Neodiprion lecontei: one gene and its partner. The protein of the gene in region 2 purifies or fractionates together with the protein of the main gene of each other region. This does not show direct contact. Links are inferred from orthologs where the notes say so. Each region holds a gene or a part of one and is shown on either strand. Other genes may lie near its edges.

Region 1 (7,589 bases), on a different chromosome or scaffold from region 2:
TTACCATACTGGTTGTCTTTGGCGTCGTGTAGCAGTAGCGAACTGACAGAGGTTGGTCTAACTGGAATAGCTCTAGAATGTCCAGAGCCCTTGCCTTTATTTGTTTTACTTTTGACGTGATAAAATTGCAGCTTGTCTTGTATGTTGATGTCAACGTTCCACCGCCCGTCCTTTGACTTTTCGGTGACGATATTTTGCGAGTTCAACTCCTGCGCTATGGGAACTGGGCTCTTATAGACGCTCGGCGGTTTATCCTCCTTTTTAATTGGCAGTTTTAGAGCCAGCGGATACTCTCTGTAGACATGATTCGAGGGGTATTTTGCTGCAGAGTATAGCTTCACCGCCTTCAAGCTTAGGTTATTTTGCAGGTGGTCTAATCTGCCCTGAAGTTTCACAGCGCGACCTTTTATACCGGCTAATCTGTAACAACGTATCAAAGATGAGATTTTTTAGTATATTTTCCAACCATTAGTTCTTTTCTTCTACCTTGTGAAAAATGAAAACGCTAATTAGTTATTCTTTCTTCAATCTCTGAGAGTGAAGACCAGATTTGCGCTACACAACTACATTTCATAACGAAAGAACACAAACAACTTTGTCTTGAATACCTTTTTGTATTTTCCGATAACCGCTCGTCGATACAGCTAAATATGCTTGCTACAGCAGAGTTGAGCGAATCTAATGCTTCTGCAATCTGGACTATGGTTTCCTCCTGTCGCAAATCATGCGGAATCACACCTGAAACACGATGCTGAAAATTAAAACTTGCCGAAGAGAGAATAATTATTTGTTTAAATAAATATTATTGTGACTGTTATTGTCATCTGATATTTAAAGATTAAAAATCATACGATTTCATAACGTTATCTATCCAAAGATCATAGATTATTTTGCATAACACTGTGGTCTGCGTTCGAATGAATTTGTTTAGAAATCTCATCTATCTCTCGAATCAATTAAAAACAATGCGAATGACTGATGTTTGAGTATTTATAACACGAAATGTATAAAAATTACGCCGAATGTATCATTATTACCAATTTCTATGTGCCCCTGCATTTCTCCTGATTCGATAAGGTCAATTTTTATACAAACAAACGACGATTGATTCAAATATCAATCCGACGCCGGCTCCTTCCCCCGAAAAATGTATTGACACTTAACAACAATCGCGAACCATTAACTCATCGCCATAAACTCTCTCATATCATTCGAGTTGTATTTAAATCTGGTTTAAACTACTCAAAACAAGTGCTACTGCATATCGTCTGCATAGGCGAACGACTGCCATTCTTAGTTCTGCCACTTTACGCCCATTAATTCTTTATCAGGTTAGGTTATGTTAGGTTCCGTTCCGTCCGTCAAAAACTGGCCAAAGATTGCAATTCTTTACCCAGTTTCGAATCGAATCCAAAGCGCGAGGCGGCTGAAGATCGCATGCGTAGCAAAGAGGATGAGAAAAGAAAATACGAACGCAGATTGATTTCCGTGATTATAATCGCGGCTTCGTGCAGTCTGTAATAAATTCAAATTTCAAATAACGGCCGCACTTAAAACCCATTCGCGATCCAATTCGCAATCGACCGCCTTAAGGAGAGTAAAGATGGCGGCTTGACGATTCCTGGCCGAGTGAATTCAGCCGGTGGATTAAACGGGAGTAGTGAGTTAAAAAGGGTATCGCTGGGTTAATGAGAGGTTTCGATTTCGTCGACGATCGATGCAGAAACCGCCTAGGTTTTAGTTTCTGTAAAATAAAACGATAATCCATCGATCTCTGCATACGCTCGAGCTGGATTTGTTGAAGGTGGTGTAGATGCTCGTAACTGTTGGAATCGCAGTATCCTCGATCTTCCGATTGTTCTTCAGCTTGTAATTTTCGTCGGGTGGCTAGAATTTCAGGCTCCGTTAATCTGTACAGAAATCGTGGTATTCCTCGACTACTCTTAACCTCGTCGTCGTCGATCATGGAGGCCCTCATTCCAGTGATAAATAAACTCCAAGATGTATTCAACACCGTTGGTGCTGACGCCATACAATTGCCTCAAATCGTCGTTCTCGGAACACAGGTTAATTATAATTTCACCTATACTATTGACAATGTGTCGGTACGTTTCAAACCATTGATTTAGACAGTCTCGCGTTTCTTCCTTAAAAGCCCGATCTTGCCCTCGGATCCTTGATCCTTTATCTTTGTGATCCTACTTGTCGTCGATATGACTTTTTCAGGTATTGTATTTCAAATTCGAAGAATATTATACTAAAATTATTTTACTTCACTCATTAAAATTACTATCGTTTAAAAGTTTCTATTTTTATCGATGATTTTTACTAGTTTTAGCATTTTCTTACAGTTGAATTTATTTTTTGCTGATGAGACCAGTGATGAAAGAAAACATATTTTTTTTCTTTTCCTAATGGAATCTTGCAAATCAATTCTTTGAAAACACTATTTTTTAATTTTATATCCATCTTTGGTTTCATTTTTACTCCTAAATTATTCGTCCACCTTAACGCCTACTTTCATAAAACATTTCTCCAATTTTTAGATTCTCATTGTTAGGTTACATTGCATGATCTGTGAATGACAACAAATATGAATTTTCTTAACAGGATCCAGCAAAAACTATTTTTCCAATTCAACAATCATTAAAATGAACATACAAGTGAAACTTTAAAAAAACGTTATCCCATTCCAAAATTACTTTTCTTTCATTACCACTTCCGGTATTAGTTATTTAGTGATTGCTAATGATTTTCAAAGATAAAAATTTTAATCCCTGTGCTAAACTATGAAAACACTTATTCTTGAGGTTGAGAGTTATCAGAATTGTTGATAAATTGAAATGAATCTAATTCCAGGAATAATTTTCTACTATGAATTAGAACTCCAGAAAACTGTGCAGTCACAAATAGTTTGGGAAAATGTTTATTTCTATGATGAATTACCTCTTCCAATTCCCTTGTGTTATCCATACATTATCCCATTTGAGAATGAAAAGAATATCCGACAAATGAAATGAGAATATATGTTTTCCATTGTATGCAGAGCTCCGGGAAATCGTCCGTCATAGAGAGTTTGGTAGGCCGCTCGTTTCTGCCCAGAGGGACTGGTATAGTGACTCGTAGGCCGTTGATTCTTCAGCTCGTTTATGCGCCGAAAGATGACAGGGAGCACAGAACAGCCGAAGATGGGACGCTGACCCTTGACGAGTGGGGTGTATTTTTGCACACTAAAAATAAAATATTTACAAACTTCGATGATATCAGATTGGAAATTGAGGCTGAAACGAATCGGATGGCTGGATCCAACAAGGGAATTTGTCCTGAACCGATTAATCTGAAGGTTTATTCAACCTCGGTTGTAAATCTGACACTCGTCGACTTGCCAGGGATCACCAAGGTCCCCGTTGGCGATCAGCCCGAGGATATTGAAGCGCAAATCAGAAACTTGGTTCTGAAACACATTTGCAATCCAAATTCCATAATATTGGCCGTTGTAACCGCAAACACGGACATGGCGACCAGCGAGAGCCTCAAACTCAGCAAAGACGTTGATCCCGATGGAAGGAGAACCCTCGCAGTTGTTACTAAACTGGATCTAATGGACGCTGGTAATTTGACCAACTAAATAGTAACTTTGAACTGATATCTGATGTATTGAATTTTGTGGCGACGTATTTCTTTCTATCCTTCTTTTTTCTCTCTTAAACTGGAGTTAAGTTTAAGAATTGATTTGATTAGCTAATCTTGATCTGAAAATTTGTCCCGAAGAATTATATTTTTCTTGGAATTATTTTATCATTCATTTATACAACCCTGCTTGAGAGTCGCTTGTTATTTTGGGTTTGAGGAACGGATGCGATTGATATCCTGTGCGGACGGGTGATTCCTGTGAAGCTGGGGATCATAGGAGTTGTAAATCGTTCACAGCAAGACATAATGAATAACAAGTCTATCCAGGAAGCTCTTAAGGACGAAGCTGCCTTCCTGCAACGAAAATATCCTACTTTGGCAAACAGAAACGGCACTCCTTACTTAGCAAAAACCCTCAACAGACTTTTAATGCATCATATTCGCGATTGCCTTCCCGATTTAAAGGTAAGCCTTTGCTAAATTGTTAGTCAGGAGAGCATGTAAATCTGGTCCCTTCCTTCGGCCATGTAACAATTATTTATTCAAACAACAGACACGCGTGAATGTGATGGTCTCCCAATTCCAAACACTTTTAAACTCATACGGAGAGGATGTGGGAGACAAGAGCCAGACACTGCTTCAGATAATAACCAAGTTTGCGAGCAGTTACTGTTCGACGATTGAGGGAACAGCAAGAAATATAGAGACTACCGAGCTCTGTGGAGGTGCTCGTATCTGCTACATATTTCACGAGACATTTGGACGAACACTAGATTCCATTCATCCACTGGCTGGTCTAACTAGGATGGATATTTTGACTGCAATTCGAAATGCGACGGGTCCCAGACCGGCTCTCTTTGTTCCCGAGGTCTCGTTTGAACTCCTGGTCAAGCGACAGATCAGGAGACTCGAAGAGCCTTCGCTACGCTGCGTCGAACTAGTTCACGAAGAGATGCAGAGAATCATTCAACACTGCGGCACCGAAGTTCAGCAAGAAATGCTTCGTTTTCCAAAACTACACGAACGGATCGTCGACGTTGTTACGCATCTTCTACGCCGACGATTACCGACAACTAATTCTATGGTGAAGATATTTCAAATACATTACACGCAACTTTGGTCTGCGTTTTGTGAAAATGGAGCATTGACATCGATTTCACTTAGACTTGCCTGAACGGTTTACCTTATTTGTAATGACGTTGCGACTAGTTTTTCGCTTATTTCGGCACTTGTTATAATTAACCAAGAGAATCTGTTTACAAGGTGGAGAATTTGGTCGCTATCGAGCTTGCTTACATCAATACCAAACATCCAGATTTTCACAAAGATGCGGCACTAGTCTCTTCGTTATTAAAGAATGCAGAGGCGGATCAAGTAAGACCCAGTAAAAGACATATATCTGCTTCTTCAAATACTTCTACAGGCAGTACGATTCTACCTTCCGAACAAGTGAGCAATAATAGTTGATCCATTCTTGGTTTAAATTGAACAATTTTATATTTTCGTCTATTTCTATCAACCATTGAATGTTTCTGAACAGAATTTTGAGAAAATTTTATTGTTCTCAGAACATACCTATATTGTCTTTTTTATCTCGCAAGTTGAAAAATTTCCTGATCAACTACAATCAATCAAATATTTTCGTCACATAAAAGCTTTGGTAACAATGTTTTGTCAGAATCAAAAAGCAGTCAACAATCGTGAGGAGCCACCGGTATTTAATAACGAACAAAGTAAAGAGGCACAAGCAAATCATTGGCTGCTGAGCAACTTGCTGCCGCAAGTAAAGTCTGATTCAACAAGCGGCAATTCCATCGATGGATCTCCAGTAAGATATAGGGATGGAAGTCCCATTCCTAATCCTACACCTAGCCCAAATTCTGTTTCGGATTTACAGCGGGGATCGCCACAGCAAAAACCAGTAAATCTACTCCCAGAAGTTCCGATGCAAACTTCTCGGAAGCTTAGTGATCGTGAGCAACGTGACTGTGATGTGATCGGTAAGATATCTGGAATGATTAATGGTTCGATCTTTGTCTTTTTTTTTTTAATCTACAGTTTTGTTCAACTATAAATAATTAATGTTATTTTATACTTTTCAGAGCGTCTTATCAAGTCGTATTTTTACATAGTTAGAAAATCAATTCAGGACAGCGTACCGAAGGCTGTTATGCATTTCCTCGTTAATTACGTTAAGGACAATTTACAGAGCGAGTTGGTCACTCACCTGTACAAAACGGACCACATTGAGTCGTTACTTAATGAGAGCGAACACATCGCCGTGAGGCGTAGGGAAGCTGCTGATATGCTCAAAGTGCGTACATTGTTTATTTTTTTTTTTTTCCTCACAAATATTATCGTTTGTTCACTTGGGAGTCTCGAAACGTTAACCGATCGAGAGACCCGCTTTAAAGACAATGGAAATATAATTCATACAATTATTCGATCGCTGAAGAATGGTGTATAATTATATTTATATCATTTACAGGCACTAACAAAGGCTGGGCACATCATAAGCGAGATTCGTGAGACACATATGTGGTGATCATCGTCACTAGTCGTATGAGAAATGCACAGGTGCAGAAATGCTAGTAACAAATAGGTATATCACTTGCGTCTGGACATACGCCGGTAATTGATTGAATTAATGCCATTTGCCTGTTGAATCAAACGGTTCTGTTTTCCAAGCGGTTGTCCAATATCCTGAAAACTGCTCGAGTATGCAATTCTTAAAAATGCAAAGTTCCAAGTTCTTCGAATGCATAATTTAAGAAATCAAATTATCGTATTCGAGTTAATGTCCAGGGTATTCAGGAGAACAAAGAGTGTAAAACTTCACATGGAAAATAGAATCGAGTGTATATTTTTATTTCAGGGAGCTTTTCTTTTTTTATTTTTTTTTTCCCCCCCATCTTACTTATTGTTATCATTCGTAGTTATGGCGTAGTTATCGACTGCAATTTCATGTGTGAATTCTTACTCGGGAATGAAACATAAGTGTCGAATGTATACCTGGCATAGGCATCGAGGTATATATGTAAAATGGTAGTGCTGTATTAATTATTCTATTTTTAATTGATTCTAATTGTTAATGATGTTTACTGTACTATTGTATAAAAATGACGTATACAATTATTACGAAAAACTAGGAAATAGGAAACGCGCGCACGTGCCGGTAATCACGCATTAATTTTTAAACGATTCAAAGCTATAAAAGCAAGCCGAATTCACATAGGTTGTTTTCGCTGTCTGCGTTAAATTCTGAAATTCTTTGTGGTATATAAATTTTCAAAAATACAGTTTAAACCATTTTTCTGCAAAAAAAACGTACCGACATTTTTCGCTGTATCAAGAAATTCACTATTACTTCGGTTCGTAATTCCGAATTTTGTAACCGAGATATTACAGCAAAATTCGAAATTTAGAAAGGCAAATATCGATACTTTTCCCCCCTTGTTTTTCTCTCTTTAGATTTTTTCATGTACATAAAAAAAGTTAGACAGAAGTTTGACTTTCTGCCATGCTTAAACTTTGTAAATATATTTAAGAAAAACAGAGTGAAATTCACGTCGAAAAAAAAAAAAAAATAGAATTACTGCGCAAAAAATCCAAAGATCGCTAATATATTCTTGTCGTTCGTTTATATTCATATACTCGAGCAAAAAATTCTCTGATTCTACAATTGTACTGTTTTTAATTATTATCCATAATTAATTTTTCTTAGATATTATTGCTAGGCGATTTTTTTCTCTTCTATATATACATTATTTTTTTTTCTTTTTTTAATTTTTTTCATTTGTGTTTTTCTTTTCCTCTTTCTTTTTAGACAATTCCAAGTATCATGAGTGTGAATCCAATAATAAATCATAAGCAGTAATATTAAAAACGTTTGCCCGTTTTCTTTCATCTTCGTTTTTATATAATTTAACTAACACATTATCTGTCATTTATTCAAG
Region 2 (6,819 bases):
AACATTGTTTTCTTCTGTTTCTTTTGCTTTAGCGTACATATAATTTTTATTTCAGAGTGGTGATGAGATAGGCCTAATTAAATGTGTCCGACAGTATCCTGACATGCTTTTTTGCAAGCGTTCAACAAGGATAACAAAACGTATTTCACACGGTTTTCCTGTCCGGAATGATAAATCGTGTCTAATTTCGGCAAATGAACAACTTCATAATCAAACTTAGCGATCAGTAAGAAAAATTCGGAAAAGTTGTGGAAAAATAAAAAAAGTATAGGAGCGAGAGTTGACTGTAAATATATTTATCGTGTTTCCACCAATTTTCTGAACCTTTCTCCATGATTTACACAAGCATGGTTACAGACGCTATCATTTCCCAAAGTTTGAAACGATTTTATTACTCGGGGGAAAAAGGGTGTAAAATACGATTTGCTTACTTGGACGGTGCTTCAACACCCCCTTACAATTAGCCCAGTAAATTCTGTTGTCACTCTCTCAGGTCATACACGAAAGCTTCTAAGCTTCATTTAAAAACTTCGTTATTGTATATCGAACGGCTTCGCTCATTGTCAAAGTTTAGCTGATTGTACTTTCGCCATTTTGATGTCTTCGATATAATGCAATATTGCTGTCCGTGTAATCCATAATTCGTCTCTGACATTGGCGAACGTACTGCTGTTGTTTATGATATATTTTAAACGCGCCTTTGATTGTTATAAACGCCATTCCGCCCTGCAACAGATTTATTCATGAGCTAAACGTTCCTACAGGTAAACAGCAAAGAAAAAATTCTCAAGTAAATTGCAATGGACGCATACCAACAAGGTTCTCTGGAAATTAGAATTTACGCTTTCAAAAAAGATTTTGCCGCAAATACTAGCAATCGTAGGAAGCAGAAGTGCACCACACAATACTCTAGTTGCAGATACTGGATCACTCATTGGTGGGACGTCGGATGATTGCAGTCTTTCATCCTCAATGTAGCTGAATATTGGATAAAAAAAAAAAAAATGAGTACATCACAACTCCGGATTGAAAAAAAATAAATTAAAACATAAACAATCAGAATTGATTTCTACGCACCTGCTTGGCAAAAAGTGTCTGAGGATTGGCACTTTGGAAGCGTGTCTTCTCAATAAACTCAAAGCCTGATCTTCCCACCTGAGCATTTTTCCAAGAACCAGCATAATTGGTATTGTAGGCAAGCCGACCAGCAAGACAAGGGGATCTGCCTGCTCCATCATAGTTAATCCATCTTTATGACCAACCACTTGCATCACAGTAACAGCACCGTAAGTAACAGCAGTCCAGTAAATTGAGCCGACAACTATACCAGCTGCTATAAATGGACAAACGCGGAATATCACGCTATCCATTGTATCCAACATAACAACCAAAGGACCTGTAAAACATAGTTATATCAACAGGTACTAGGATATTCTCCTGTGTTTCCATTCAACAATTTATAACTTTTCAAACGCTCTTGATGTATTAAAATGACTTCGTTACCCATGTCTGGATATATGATGATATACTCTGTGTTGCATTGCGGACATGAAACGTCTTCGCCTGCTCTTCCTTTCTGCTTGACATCAACCCAGCGTTGTATACAGCCTTGATGGACCCATTTTGTTGTTCCTCTACAATGACACGGCTTGACCCATGATGCAGTGGCGTCATCTTCATCGGTTGCAAAGCAAACCCAACAATACTTTCTACTAAAATTATACATTTTTCTTATATATAACGATTTCAGTATAAAGTTTCTTTTACCTGAAATGATTATCTACCAAATGAAACTGTGACACTGACATTCAAAAAAAATGTATCGTACATTATGAAAACATGTCTTACTCTTCTTCTGAAGTTAATGCTGTTGCAGTTTCTGATGTTTCATTAGGGGTTGATGATCCGTCGGCAACATCTACAGATAGTTCAGTGTCTGTGAGATTTGGTAATGTGTTTCTAGATGTATCATCTTCGGGAGATGATCCTCTCCATAGTGAATCTGATGTTTCTATTTTGTAAGTAAGTAGTATTTGGTAATAACAACATTTGAAATTCAATAGTAGATTTATGCCAACTTCATTAGGTAAGCAGTTAATAAAATGAAATTTCAAGTATAATTCTAAAAAATGCATAGTAATAAACAGAACAACTTGACTCTCATTAAAGCTACAGGAGTAAAATATTGTTATCAAGCCCTCTATCATGTCTTACCGCTATAATGTTCCGCTGTCGATTGACCAGAATTAAAAGTATTTCCAAGTCTTTGTAAAGTTTCCTCAACACTGGGAAGTCTTAGTATCGGCTGACTTTGATCGGGGTCAACTCTAATCACTCTGCCTTGGCTGTCCAAGCCAAACTCTGATGAGGATTGACTGGTAGTATCAGACATTGTGATAAACGAGACGATTATTTTCAGAATATGCTTAGCATTGCTGGCCCTAGAGAAATAAAATAAATGTTAATTTTTCATGGGATAACAGATTTTGAACACTGTGGAAGTTTCATTGAAAAAGCTCAGGACAATCAAGCCTTGTTCACTGGTGTTGAAAACTGGAAAAGTATCGTAGCTAAATATGCTTGAGAGAATCATTTTAGCATGAGTTATCGATGCATTCACATAGTTATTTACAATTGTTTACAGTACGTGCTGAAGTAGAAGTGATCAATTTTTCTTGTGACTTGTAACTTTGATCAGGTAAAATTGGAAACACATTTGCCCTTTAGAGGACTGGCCTGGCTCTTTTAGGATTCAGCAGATAACTTGAAAATTCCACTAGATTTGTTAACTATCTATGTACATAAATCACACCTCTAAAAAATATTGAATTTCAAGCGAAAAATGCTGGCCCTCTGAAGATTAACCATGCTCGTGGTTATCATAATCAATTATTGACTTTTGATTGGATAATCAAAAACAAAAGCTTACACAAAAATGAAATATTGGAAAAACTGTAATCAGCCTTACAATATTTCGTAAGAATAATCGTATTAGCTATTCGACAGTGCACAGTTGCAGTAGGTAACGTAACAATTGTCTGATTCGATTCCACAAGATTGACATCATGTAAAGTGGGAGCAACTTTTTTACGTTACAATAATTGTTATCACATGACAAGGTTCGAGGTATATTTTTCTTTGCTTTGTGTGTTGATCCAACGAAATACTTATATAATAATTTATAAAGTTTATTGGACGTCACTTTTAGCTACAAGGAAATGTCACTTTTACTTTGAAAATTTGATGTTGTCTACATAGAGTTTGAAATTTTTAAGTTATTTAATCCCAATAAATTTAGCGGATCAAAATTTGCGGTTTTTCGTTGAAAGGTAGAAGAAAAAATTAACATACACTTCAGTGTGTTGAGGAAAAAGTGAGGTTACTTCATTTACTTTATGGTGCAGTTTTTTTTGGTACTTTTTCTTGGAGATAGTTCAAGGTTAATTTTGTCAGTTAATTCTTGATGGTAACAGCAAAATTGAAGACGTGGGTTCAAAGACTTTATGATGTATGTAAATAAAGATTATAAGGATAAAAGTGAAGGAGTTTTTCACCTGACAGCATCGGCGTACGTTGCAGCTCTTATTTGCTTACTTACGATAAAAATGTAAAGCCTCGAGTTCTCAAAGTGCAAGATAATAATTATGAACCAAGTTCACTCTAAATTTCGTGATCTTCTCAGAGAAAACAAGTGTCCAAGTTTCGTCATTTCAGAAGATATGATTATTTCTCTGAGTAAGGTTGGTACTTTGGCTCCTTGGCCAGGGCGAGTGATGATGAATTGAACTGAGCAATATATGAAATTCACACGCAGATTGTACCACTTCGAGTTTGTGAATTCGATCGCATTGACGTCTCGATACTTCGTCGCGATCGTCGCGGGTTTCCGAATTTAAAACTCGCGAGAACCGTGCGTCTCAGTTTTCAAAATATCAACAGTGTGTTATTTATTTTGAAAACGAAAACGTGAACTTAAATGCAATCAGCTCGTGAATGAACAATACTCTAGTCGCATATTGAGAGAATATATTTGTGCCATTGTGACATTAAAACGAAGAAGTTGAACTAACGAACGACGGAGTTTAGACGTGGTTGAAACGTTGGTTGAATAATAAATACAGGTACAAGCAGATCTGCAGATGAAAAATAGCATCATTCGCTAAGATGACAACGATAATTTATTATGCACCGGAAAAATATGTCGCAACCTATGGTGGTAGAAAACTGAAGCCAAAGTTACCGAAATATTTGATTAAGCTGAAAATATTGACGATAAGGGAAAAGATTATCGCTAGGAAGTACGGACACATTTATTTACGTAAAGTTTTTGGAAAATATCATCCCTCGGAGTGCAGACGATATTACGGTATGAAGATGTTACGAAGATCTTTCGACAAACTCAAGGCGCATTGGTTCGAGGTGAAACAAATTCACAGATTAATATATAAAGCCGACGTCTTTTACAAGGGAAAATTAACTAAGAAAACATTCAGTGAATGGCTCTCTTACGCCGTGAGGGCGAAGATGATTAACAAACAGAAAGATATCGTAAGATGGAATTACGACGAACGATTATTAAAAATTACAATGTCTACTTGGAAAACAATAGCAAAGAAAAGGAAAAATTTTAAGATTATACGACACAACGCAATAGAATTATACTACTCGATGTACACTTTGCTGTTATTAATGAAACTATCGGATTATTTTCACGAGCAAATAAAACAGAGTTTACTCGAAATGAAATCCATTTTAATTGGAAGATCTATTTTCATGCGAAAATACATGAGAAGATGGAGATCGTATGTATTTCAACAGGTGGATGAATGTTTTATCATTGATTTACGTACCTTGATTGTGCTCTTCTCTCAACTGTTGGTTTTCGGGATGACGTTTACAAAACACTGATCAGAAAATTCTTCACCTTCATTTTTCAAAGTATATGTAATGCTTGTGTAGTTTATGTTGAATCTCACCTATTATTTTTGTTTATATTGCACAATTGATGAATTCTGTCCAAATTAATTCATTCAATGATGAGCGATCTTGTAGTTCCTAAAGCAAGGTTTGCCTAATTGGGAGAGTTCAGCCAATATTTCAACTTCCAGAAAAATGAGAGAAGTCTCAGATCCAAGGCAGAGAATTATTATACATACAAAGTGAGCGGATTTTATTTTGCACGTTGGCGGAAGTACGTTTGTTATAAATGTACAAAACGAGAAATCGTTCAGATTTGCATAGACCTGTACGAAGACAATTTATTAAAAATGGTGGTGCAATTCTGGAAGAATAAGTAATTGAGCAAGAATTTTCTTTGGAAACGAGAATTACGCATGATTTCAGTTATTTCATGTAAAAATATTGGTTATTGTATAAACGTCAATAATTTATGTAACATATTCTTCTCAGGACCACATTACAAATTATTGAAAAGCAACGCATGATGGTAGCAGCTAAATTTCACGATGATATGCTCAAGCGTAAATTGTTAAAAACATGGAGACGTTATGTACGTCACAAATTACAAGGGAGAACCCTGAAGCACAAAGCAAACTTTTTTTACATAATGAGATTGAAACAAAAAATTCTAGACGCTTTATCGAACAACGTTACCTGTTGCAAAAATACCAAATTGGCGATGCAAAAGTTGAAGCTGTTTTACAAAAGATTGTTGATTTTAAATGTATGGAATAAATGGACGATCATGATCGATGAAAAAAATGATTTCGAGTTAAGGGATAAGATTTTAATGGCAAAGTCTTTCTACAAGCGGCATATTATTGGAAAATGTCTAGAGAAGTGGATCGAATATAAGATATTTCAACAGAAAATAAAGTCATTGAATGCAAAGGCTTTCGATTTGTGTAGAACGTTTTACTGCAAGCAATTCTTGAACACGTGGAAAAAGACCTACAATAAAAAAAGACGAATCATCTTATTGGAAGAAAAAGTATTTGACATTTTTGTTCAAGTGGAATAATTCTATCGTTTTGTTTCAAATAATATTTTGATTTTTTTTCACAGGCTCTCCAATTTTTTAAAGACTCCTTACTGCAGAATGCTATTTCACGATGGATAAGATCTTATAATAACAGAATATTTATGAAAGCAAAGTACCTGATGTCAAGTCTACATTATGAGAAGAAAATAGTCGGCAAGTGTTTTACTGCCTGGATTAATTTTTGCAATGAAAATATTCGGGTGCAAAATTTATTGAACGAAGCAAACGAGTATTATTTAGAAATGCTGCAGCGGAAAACTTTTAAAATGCTATCAATGGTAGGTAATTGTTTTCTGAATGGATTGTAAAACGTGTTGTAAATTCATACAAATACGTCCAACGATTTCTGTCCAACGTTTGAAGGAGATTGTAAATCTGATGTGACTTTGTAAATTCAATGAAAACGGGATGATGAAGCAAATATTGTTGGAACCGGAATTCATGTCTGATTTCTAATGATTTATTGGTAATAAGTTCTTGTATTTTAGAATATAGAGAGAAAAAAAGTAAAACGGGAGAAGATAGAAACGGTCAACAACTTTTATAAAAAGACTCTTGTAAATAGAGTATTTGGAAACTGGCGGGAGCATTGTCTTCGGGTGAAAGAATTGAATAAGAAAGTTGAGGAATATAATCGAAGGGCACAAAACAAGTTGAAACTGAAATTGATTTTACAATGGAAACTATATGTAAATCATAAAAAATCTAGTTTCAGGAAAAGATCGGTGTCTAGATCTTACTATCAAAAAAAGATATACTCGAAAACGTTTGATCATTTGAAACACTACGTAAATTATAGAAGAAGCAAAAAAATTCGT

What was found. The genes of interacting proteins can lie anywhere in the genome.
Region 1: the proteins of E3 ubiquitin-protein ligase MARCHF5 (region 2) and dynamin-1-like protein purify together in Homo sapiens (affinity purification with western blotting, with the first as the bait; 3 studies listed by BioGRID). This does not show direct contact. The link is inferred for Neodiprion lecontei from reciprocal best matches to the Homo sapiens genes MARCHF5 and DNM1L.

Annotation. Positions count from the first base shown.
Region 1 is NC_060264.1:30,295,097-30,302,685, forward strand, and holds dynamin-1-like protein, read left to right. Parts: upstream 1-1,589; 5' UTR 1,590-1,964; coding exon 1,965-2,066; intron 2,067-3,046; coding exon 3,047-3,611; intron 3,612-3,850; coding exon 3,851-4,098; intron 4,099-4,186; coding exon 4,187-4,717; intron 4,718-4,896; coding exon 4,897-5,082; intron 5,083-5,311; coding exon 5,312-5,633; intron 5,634-5,735; coding exon 5,736-5,947; exon of another isoform or gene 5,948-6,121; coding exon 6,122-6,178; 3' UTR 6,179-7,287; downstream 7,288-7,589. Other genes in the region: WASH complex subunit 1, read right to left, coding at 1-420, 609-738, 1,394-1,439. UniProt on the Homo sapiens protein: Functions in mitochondrial and peroxisomal division.
Region 2 is NC_060260.1:25,752,115-25,758,933, forward strand, and holds E3 ubiquitin-protein ligase MARCHF5, read right to left. Parts: upstream 4,979-6,819; 5' UTR 4,851-4,978; intron 4,819-4,850; coding exon of another isoform or gene 4,369-4,818; exon of another isoform or gene 4,355-4,368; intron 3,817-4,354; exon of another isoform or gene 3,555-3,816; intron 3,513-3,554; exon of another isoform or gene 3,352-3,512; intron 2,442-3,351; 5' UTR 2,393-2,441; coding exon 2,215-2,392; intron 2,012-2,214; coding exon 1,849-2,011; intron 1,713-1,848; coding exon 1,504-1,712; intron 1,397-1,503; coding exon 1,078-1,396; intron 979-1,077; coding exon 813-978; intron 727-812; coding exon 571-726; 3' UTR 529-570; downstream 1-528. Other genes in the region: protein SFI1 homolog, read left to right, coding at 4,369-4,818, 5,109-5,293, 5,410-5,950, 6,025-6,279, 6,490-6,819. UniProt on the Homo sapiens protein: Mitochondrial E3 ubiquitin-protein ligase that plays a crucial role in the control of mitochondrial morphology by acting as a positive regulator of mitochondrial fission and as an important regulator of immune response.